Daphnia pulex: one gene and its partner. The protein of the gene in region 2 purifies or fractionates together with the protein of the main gene of each other region. This does not show direct contact. Links are inferred from orthologs where the notes say so. Each region holds a gene or a part of one and is shown on either strand. Other genes may lie near its edges. The genes, in order: LIM domain-containing protein jub-like and serine/threonine-protein kinase Warts-like.

The links.
Region 1: the proteins of serine/threonine-protein kinase Warts-like (region 2) and LIM domain-containing protein jub-like purify together in Drosophila melanogaster (affinity purification with western blotting; 4 studies listed by BioGRID). This does not show direct contact. The link is inferred for Daphnia pulex from reciprocal best matches to the Drosophila melanogaster genes wts and jub.

The regions. Positions count from the first base shown.
Region 1 is NC_060021.1:11,750,437-11,754,977, reverse strand, and holds LIM domain-containing protein jub-like, read left to right. Parts: upstream 1-1,497; 5' UTR 1,498-1,698; coding exon 1,699-2,532; intron 2,533-2,601; coding exon 2,602-2,692; intron 2,693-2,774; exon of another isoform or gene 2,775-2,775; coding exon 2,776-2,945; exon of another isoform or gene 2,946-3,010; coding exon 3,011-3,073; exon of another isoform or gene 3,074-3,139; coding exon 3,140-3,270; exon of another isoform or gene 3,271-3,501; coding exon 3,502-3,553; exon of another isoform or gene 3,554-3,647; coding exon 3,648-3,716; exon of another isoform or gene 3,717-3,781; coding exon 3,782-3,880; 3' UTR 3,881-4,163; downstream 4,164-4,541. Other genes in the region: calcium-transporting ATPase type 2C member 1-like, read left to right, coding at 1-1,279; general transcription factor IIH subunit 2-like, read right to left, coding at 4,220-4,345, 4,409-4,541. UniProt on the Drosophila melanogaster protein: Regulates organ size by inhibiting apoptosis and promoting cell proliferation by influencing the expression of G1/S-specific cyclin-E (CycE) and apoptosis 1 inhibitor (th). Negatively regulates the Hippo signaling pathway.
Region 2 is NC_060026.1:6,952,729-6,957,342, reverse strand, and holds part of serine/threonine-protein kinase Warts-like, read right to left. Parts: intron 4,533-4,614; coding exon 3,736-4,532; intron 3,659-3,735; coding exon 3,353-3,658; intron 3,288-3,352; coding exon 3,168-3,287; intron 3,107-3,167; coding exon 2,843-3,106; intron 2,772-2,842; coding exon 2,586-2,771; intron 2,520-2,585; coding exon 2,303-2,519; intron 2,242-2,302; coding exon 2,129-2,241; intron 2,057-2,128; coding exon 1,976-2,056; intron 1,911-1,975; coding exon 1,813-1,910; intron 1,747-1,812; coding exon 1,551-1,746; intron 1,477-1,550; coding exon 1,153-1,476; intron 1,087-1,152; coding exon 664-1,086; 3' UTR 1-663. UniProt on the Drosophila melanogaster protein: Negative regulator of Yorkie (Yki) in the Hippo/SWH (Sav/Wts/Hpo) signaling pathway that plays a pivotal role in organ size control and tumor suppression by restricting proliferation and promoting apoptosis.

The DNA of each region.
Region 1 (4,541 bases), on a different chromosome or scaffold from region 2:
AGGACGTTGCTTGCCGATGAACATGGATCACCAACAAAGGGTGTTGGGTGAAGCCAGGCAACTGGCGACGCAGGGACTTCGGGTGATTGGAATGGCACGCGGAGATTCAATGGAAGCGATGGAGTTTCTCGGCATGGTCGGCCTGCACGACCCACCTCGACCGCAGGTGCGACAGGCCGTCGACATCTTCCACGGCACCGGAGTTCAAGTGGTCATGGTGACTGGCGACGCCATGGAAACGGCCGTATCCATCGCAGAACTGTTGGGGATTTACCGGCCCAACAGTACAGTCGTTTCTGGAGAGCAACTGGACGCTATGGCCGACGATGAACTAAAGGACCGCGTGATGGAGGTGTCCGTCTTTTATCGAGTGACGCCCCGTCAGAAGCTGCGCATCGTGCAAGCTTTCCAGTCTGTGGGTGCCGTGGTGGCCATGACTGGCGATGGAGTCAACGACTGTGTTGCTCTCAAAGCTGCCCATATCGGCATAGCAATGGGCAAGAACGGCACGGATGTTTCCAAAGAAGCGGCCGACATGATCTTGGTTGACGACGACTTTTACACCATCATGGCAGCTGTCGAAGAAGGTAAAGGCATCTTTTACAACATCCGCAACTTTATCCGCTTCCAGTTGAGTACGAGTATTGCTGCGCTGTCGCTCATCACCATTACAACCCTGGCTGGACTACCGAACCCGCTCAACGCCATGCAAATTCTTTGGATCAATATTTTAATGGACGGACCCCCAGCTCAAAGTCTGGGCGTTGAGCCCGTAGACAAAGATGTCATCCGGCAACCTCCACGCAGCAGCAAGCAATCAATGATTGATCGATCTCTCATCGCCAATGTACTACTTTCGGCAGCTATAATCGTCCTGGGAACTCTGTTCGTGTTCCAACGCGAGTTGCAGGATAACAAGTTAACACCTCGTGACACGACAATGACATTCACTTGCTTTGTCTTGTTCGACCTGTTCAACGCCCTTAGCTGTCGCTCGCAGGACAAATCTGTCCTGGAAATTGGACTTGGGACGAACCGGCTCTTCATTGCCGCCGTGCTCCTGTCACTCTGCGGCCAACTGCTCGTCATCTTTTTCCCACCACTCCAGTGGGTTTTCCAGACGGAAGCACTCCATTTTCAGGATATGGCCTTCCTGACGGCTATCACTTCTAGTGTCTTAATTGTATCCGAACTGAAAAAGTGGATCCAGCGACACCCGCCTTTTCGACTCTTCTCTCCGGCTGTTAACAGAGGGCGAAGTCGTTCTGATTTGATCTAACCAAAATTCTATTTCATTCAATCGTACAACATCTACTATTCTTCAACTGTCTGTCAATCTCTTGTTTTTTATTCAATTTCTTTTTCATTCATTATTGTTACTATAAAGGTATTCGTTTGACGAGTCAATAGATTGCCAAGAGAACAGAAGGGGCTTTTCGCATATTATTTCATAAAATAATGCCCAGCTTTCCCTTTCCACCCCGCCCCTCTCCATTTACCCTTAGGCAGAGACTCCAGCAGACACTCGACTGTGTACACACACACACAGCCAGTTCATTCGACACGCAATCTGTTATCACGTTTGTGTTGTGTTTTCGTAGGCGGGAATGAGTACCATTCTCTTTCTGTGACGTTGATTAGGTTCGGATATCCTTGAGACGTATTTGGCAGAGTACAAGTATTTCCATCCCTCTGATCATGGACCAGGAATTAGGCAAGAAAATGTCGGCTTTGCGACTAGCCGAAGCCAACAGAACGAGCAACATCACTCGACCTACTACTGGATTTCAGTATCCAGCTACTAGTGGCCAATTACCACCGTACAAGTATCCTAATTCAGCTGCTACTCAAATGAAATATGAACCTCAGTATGGATCTTCATCATCGGAAGGAATTTATGCCAACCTGGAGGAGCTCACTGGAAGTCCTGTCAGAGGCAGGTATGAAGATGCATTTATCCCACCTCCAGAACAATTTTCCCAAAGACTTGTTCAGATATCCAAGATATCACACGTCCCCACGCAATCCAAAGTGAGTTTGGAAGAAGCCATGCGCTACACACCACCAAACTTGGTGACTTCTGCTGACGAAGCACCTGTTTATGAGAATCTTCAATTCTACACTTCACCAAAGAAATCGTTTTCAAGTATTTCATCAGCTAGTAACATGTGTGTGCCAACCTATCAGCCAGTTTCCTCCAACCTTGCCGCATTGAAAACTGATGCCCAGTTGGCCACACAACAGCCCTTTGAGCCGAGTCAGTTTCCCCCACCTTCTACATCGATGAAATGCAAATCTTTCACACAAGCATATCCAGCACCACAAATCATCAAGCCATCTCCTCAAAGGTTTTCCCAACCTACTCCTACCTATCAACAAACTCAAAACGCTACAAGCACTACTACAACTGGATATGAAAAGTCACCTCAGCGATTCATCAAACCAGGAATGACAACTGATTCAAGCATTCAACAGATGAGTCCAGCTGGTTCCTCCCCTAAAATGCCCTTTGCAACTCTTCCTTCCAAAAAGGTTTGTACCTTCTTAGTATTTTGTTTGTGTTTGTTTAATAATTTTTGTTTTTAATTTCTTTAATTTCAGGAAACTTCTGATGCTGAGAAAAAATTTGAATCTTTCATGAAAGAAATAGAAGAAGAAATGGAGAATCAAGAACAAGATGGGGAGTTTTTTGGTAATGAATACATTTTATTTAGCAAAAATTTCACTTCCTAAAGGTTCTTTGTTGTTTTGGAACAATCGCGCACCAATAAATAGGTGTTTGTCATACTTGTGGCGAAAAAATTACTGGGGCGGCCGAAGCCTGCCAGGCAATGGGAAATCTCTATCACACTTGCTGCTTCGTATGCTGTTCCTGTGGTCGGGCCCTTCGGGGAAAAGCTTTCTATAATGTTCATGGAAAGGTTTACTGCGAGGAGGATTATTTGGTGTGTATCATTTTTATAGGTTAACTGGGCAACTTTTTGCTTATAAATCCTTTCTATTTTCACAGTACTCTGGCTTTCAACAAACTGCTGAGAAATGTGGACTGTGTGGACATTTAATAATGGAAACTGTAAGAGCTTTATTTTCTGAACAAATCCCGTTTCAATTATAATCATTAAAAAAATATGTTGTACAGATTTTACAAGCTATGGGAAAATCTTATCATCCTGGATGCTTCCGTTGCTGCGTTTGCAACGAATGCTTGGACGGGGTTCCATTCACTATCGACGTTGATCATAAAATCTACTGTGTGACCGACTACCACAGGTAAAATAAGTATTCCATCTCTTTTTTGCACCTAGATCTGTTGTACCACATTACCTGCACCACTCCGTTGCGTGTTTCTTTGGTACATGGTTTTTATTTTGAGTCAAAACTCTTACGTGCTGGGCCATTTTTTGCCTGCCTGATTGGAGGAATATTTACTTCCTAAGAGCCTGCTTAATTCTCTCTTTTTTGAACACTTTTCTTGTATCATCGTTGTCTTGCTGGGTGAAGGATGTTTGCACCGAGATGCGCAGCTTGCGATGAAATTATCACGCCTGCTCAGGTGAGAGATCTATTTGGTTCCAGGGCCCTTGACAAATTTGAATTTTGCTCATAAAAGAAAGGGATACGACATTCTTTTTTCTATGCACTTATAGGGTAGCAAAGAGACGGTACGCGTTGTGTCTATGAACAAGGATTTTCACGTTGATTGCTATGTTTGCGAGGTTTGACATTCAACAAATAAGGTCTTCTTTTCAACGCAATTTTTAAATGTTTCTTTTGCTATTAGAGTTGTGGATTACAGTTAACGGATGAGCCAGAGCGGCGATGTTATCCTTTGTACGGCCGCCTATTTTGTCGCAGCTGTCGACTTATGCAAGACACTTGAAAATTATGCAGCACACGAATACGCCAAAACCAAAATGTTTTTTTTTTACTCTTCGGTTTTCTTTCCTATTATTACGTGCGATATAAGCTTTTACATTTTGACGAAAACTTTTTAGGTTTAATTTTCAAAAACTATCCTACAAGACGTTATTTGACTTTTTTTTTGTGTGTACCTTATTCAAACTAACGTGACTAATGTCCCTAATAGATTGGCTCTGTTTTCATTGCAAATGTACACTGCACAAATACTCGGATTACACCATTAAATTTTTAGTTAATACCAACCGAACGTTATGTACATTTGTGGAGTTCAACTTCTGAATGAATGAAACAATTTTATTCAGTTAGTTTTCATTTGAGCTGTGATTGGATCACTAGCACATCCAGGGCATGTGTGCAATGTTTCTCGTATGAATAGGTCGCAGTCAAGACATACAATCTGTTTGCAGTTTTCACACTCGTAAACCTTAAAAAAATAAATAAATAACAGATGTAAGAAAATCGTCGAAGAACCAATAATCATTCTTACATTGGGATCCAATTCACCAAAAGGCTTGGCGCACGCAAAGCAATGCGTCATCTCGGGAACTTCTGTTCGTTCTATAAATGGTTTGATGGGAAAGAGATGGTGATAAGAACGGGCAAGATGAGGGGCAGAAACC
Region 2 (4,614 bases):
ACTTCTAAACGGCAGCTCTTTACAATGTAAAGAAGATTGATAAGTCTGTAACGGGGTCCTAAATGGGGGGAGGAGGATACATAATGAAGGATTAATCAGAAGGAAAATTTGACAACAAATATAACGTCATGACAATTTATGGACGTACCCAAAATCTGAAACCTTCCCAATAAGAAAAAGGTTGTTCTTAGAAAAAAAAATTACTGTCCTACACTGGCATACAAGAATAATTAAAACACTGATTCGTAAGGCAGCCAAAAAAAGTCAATTCCTCAACCCATCACCCACCAACTCGAAATATTTCGAAAGATACATATATATAAAAGGGAGGGGGATTTAGCAATTTGATTTGCGGTTCAAAAACGGTGGGGCAGAGTATTCTTTGGACACTGTGATCTAGGGGAGACGGCAGCAACATCGCGAGATTCAGTTCCTAGTTGTGGAACAGTCGGTTAATACAGCATCAGAAGCTGTTGCTACGTCGAAACCGAATGGAATTTTGCTGCCTTCATTTTTTTAACAATTTGAAGCGTGTGCCTTTTAAAAACGTAGAAGGGAAAAAAAAGCTTTGTTTTGGTTTGGTTGGTTGGAACCTCACGATAAGGTTTTTTCAGTGAGGATAATGGAGCGTGAATCGATCACACAAACGTATACACTCGTTAATTAGACATAGACGGGCCCGTGATTGGCTTCATTATCATCAGGATTCATTCGAGGGTGACCGCCATCGTCAAAAAATCGTCTGAAAGTAAATTCAAAGAATGCGTGGACCGGGTGTTTTCCGTTATCTAGCGTGTTGTCCATCTTATCTTCATCCGCACTGTTCCGCAATTTGTCCGGCACGATCGGATCAAAATTGGACGTGTCAGTAGCAAAACGAATTTTCGGGATATAGGGAGCTGTTTTGCTGCGAAGGCCGCCCTCAAAGTCAACACCGTTGAAGAAAGGATGCGTCTTCAGTTCACCGGCACCACCCCTACCGGATCGTTGGTCGGCAGACGTACAAAGACGAACAATCAAATCTGCAGCTTCCGGTGACAAGTTGGCGTAATTAGGGATCTGCAACGTAGTCGACCAGTTGATAACCTACAAGGAAAAGTAAAAACATTAAACACTTGAACACACATTGGTTGCGAATAAGGAAAACAGTACCTTGTACTGAGTTTCAGCGGGAGTATTAGCCATAAAAGGTGGCTGCCCAACCAACATCTCATACAATATGACACCAACGCTCCACCAGTCGCAGAGCTGGGTATAGCCTGTACGTAGGAGCACTTCCGGTGCAATATAGTTTGGCGTTCCAACCAGCGAGTGTGCCAAGCAGCGTTGGTGTTCGCGACGTCGGCGTCTTTCCAACGTTTTCAGTACAGGCGGATGACCTGTAATGTGCGTTGTGCCAAGAGAGTTGCAATTACCTCCGACAGCATTATTACAACGGCACTCATTGGTCCAATCTTCTCCCGGATCAAAAGAATCCTAACATGATTAACAAGAAATATGTCAATATCGCTATTAAATATTTAGCTATTTTAATTTGTAGTAGCACGCACTTGTCTTGAATGATCGCCGTTGCGTTGATAGTATTTTGAATTGTGCGTCCAGCGGAAACCAGTACAAAGCCCAAAGTCAGTCAATTTAATATGACCGTCACGATCAATAAGAATGTTGTCTGGCTTGATATCACGGTGAATAAAACCCATTTTATGTACGCTTTCCACAGCGCATACTAATTCAGCTATATAAAACCTACATGACAAATGAAACATTCAGTAATTACGTATATTGAACGAATAATAACTACTGATTGCTAACCTTGCAAGAGGTTCTTCAAAGATCCCGAGTTTGATTAGAAGTGACATCAAATCGCCACCAGGGATGTAATCCATCACAAAATACAAATTATCCTTGTCCTAAAGTGCAGAAAAAAACCTATTTTAGATTGAGCGCACTAAGAAAAAGTTTAATAAAGTTATACCTGAAACGAGTAGTAGAGCTTGACGACCCATTCATTATCGGCTTCAGCCAAAATGTCTCGTTCGGCTTTGACGTGAGCCACCTTAACGAAAAAGTATGTAAGTAAGTGATTAAAAAAAATCTATTTTTGTGAAATATGTAAAATCAAATTTACCTGATTGCGCTTAAGAACATCTGTTTTCCTTAACGTCTTCATAGCGTAGAGATGATTATTGGTGTCAATCTTACGTACTAAAGCCACTTCACCAAATGCTCCCACTCCAATTGCTAAAAAGAAAATACATATTTCTTTTAAAGGTTCAAGATTAGACAAATCTATAATATTCACCTTTGATTTTCAAAAACATGGCTTTGTTCATCTTGGCTCGCTTCAAACGGATGTAATTAGATTCCTTTTGTGATAGCATCCGCCTCATCTGACATTGAGCCTCCTCAGACAAACCAATCTTTTTCATCTCAGTTTCCAATTGCATGCGACGTTCCATTCGCTGTTGATGCGACTTGAGAAGATTCTCAACGTGCTGTTCCATGAAGAATTTAAAGGCCTGGATATCGCGATAAAGAGATAAGACGATTGCAAATCTACACCGATCTGAGCATTCTTGTCATACCTGGGGTGAATAGTTGCGTACGCTAGATTCTCGCCTTTCTTCTTCCCTTTCTCGTGAGATATGTTTACGTTCCGGGATGGGTGACTGATGCGTCAACTTGTAAGGGGGAGGCGGAGGAGGTGGCATGTCATCTTTACCATCCTCCCCATTGGCACTGGACGGTGCACTATGGCCATTCAAATCGTTCTAAAGAAAAGTAAAATAAATTAGTGTCATGATTCAAGAAAACATAGATATGTCTTTCAAACTGAACATACCTTAGTGCTCATTCCAAGTCCCGAATCTTGCGTTCCCTCCGAAGGTGCAGATGAAGAAATAAAACTCACTGGTGATTGGCTCGGACCGCCATGGCGTCCCGAATCACACTGCGATGCTGCTGAAGACATTGGACTCTCAGAGCGCGAAGATGGAGTCTCAAGAGTCAATGGTGAAAACCGGCGCTGCCCCGGTTTTGGAGGTAACTGAGCGTGAGGTGAACCCTGTGATTCTACCTGCTGAGCAAGTCCAGTTCCACCATTTGCCTATGATGAGAGCATTGCTAAGTTTTTGCATAAGGCAGTCGATCGATTCAAGCAATAATACCATAGAGGAAGGATAAGGTGGGGGCGGCGGAGGAGTTGCGGATAAATTATATCCATTGACGGCAAGGACATTCGTGGCGTTAGTGGGGGTTGTCCCATGCTGTCTTTGAGCAGCCAAGGCCTGGAGAGGAAATCGAATAGAGTTCAAACGGGTTCGGTAGGGAATGGAGAGTTATTATATCATACCTGCATGGTCGATGCATAACTTGGTGGATCAGTCGTTGGGACGCTGACCGGCGCCGGACTGCTAGGGATTGGAGACGGCGTGCTGGCAAAAGATAGCGGACTTGGAGAGGCCATAGGAGCGTATGATGATGGTGAAGGACAGCTACTGGATGCATAGCCGGAAGAGGAATAAGGAGGCGGAGGCGGCGGAGGCGAGGCTGAAACGGCCGGATTTGAACGGACCGGGATAGGCGGTGGTGGAGGTGAACTTGATGATTGAGGAGGACCTGACGGCGCTACAGCTGTTTGCAGTATCGGTTTCTGAACCTGATGATTGATGAAACAGTAAAATAAAATAATTTAAAAAATCGGTATTGATTAGTGTCATTTGAGCTGATTTATACCTGCATGCTTTTGACAGTGATGGGTGGTTGACGGGGTGGCCAGGCTTGGTTGGGTGGACATCTCCCCCCGGCTTGAACTGACGACGACGAGGTCGGTGGTGGGAAGGGAGCCGGACTTTTGCCAGTTGGGCTGGGAAGCGTCGGGCTTTGTCGGTTAGATAATCCGCTATCCGGTCCTCGATAAGGCGGAGGAGGAGCCACTAATTTAGAAGCTGATCCGGTGGGATACGGAGGGGGTGGAGCAGAAGACGGTGGCAATGGGCTGCTGCCATTGCTGGATTGTTGTTGCTGTTGGTACATGTTTAAAGCTTGCATCTGCTGAGTCAGCTGAGCTTGTGCTTGGGGTCCATTTTGAACGACGAGGGGCGGAAGCCGACCGGGCGGAAGAGCTGGAGCCGGACTGGTCCCACGGGGTCCCGGAATAGGTGGTGCATTAGGCACGGGTGACATTCGTTTGAGCATCTGTTGAAAGTTGCTAGGATAATGTTGGCTGTTTGTTGATTTAGATGCAGCCGATGGAGGTGGGGGCAAAGGAGGAGGTGGCGGAGTGGCACCTCGAGGCGGCGGTGGTGGAGGTGGCGGATCTGACGACGACGGGTAGGCATTTCTTGACGAATAAGGCGGTGCTTCGGGTGCTACGTGACCACGAACGAGTCCCAGACCATTAAAATAGGCTGGGCTATCAGAACGGTTAGATGAAGCGGCCGAACTGGTATCAAAAGCCGGACTGCTCCTGGGTTCTCGCTCAAAACTCGGTTTCCGGTGTACCTGCTGCCCCGATGAAGGCGGAAACGCTCCTGTGAGGAATGCAAAGATAACCGTTATTGCGTGACCAATTTATTATTATCAGCTAGCGGATTTGAAATCACCCTTGAAATC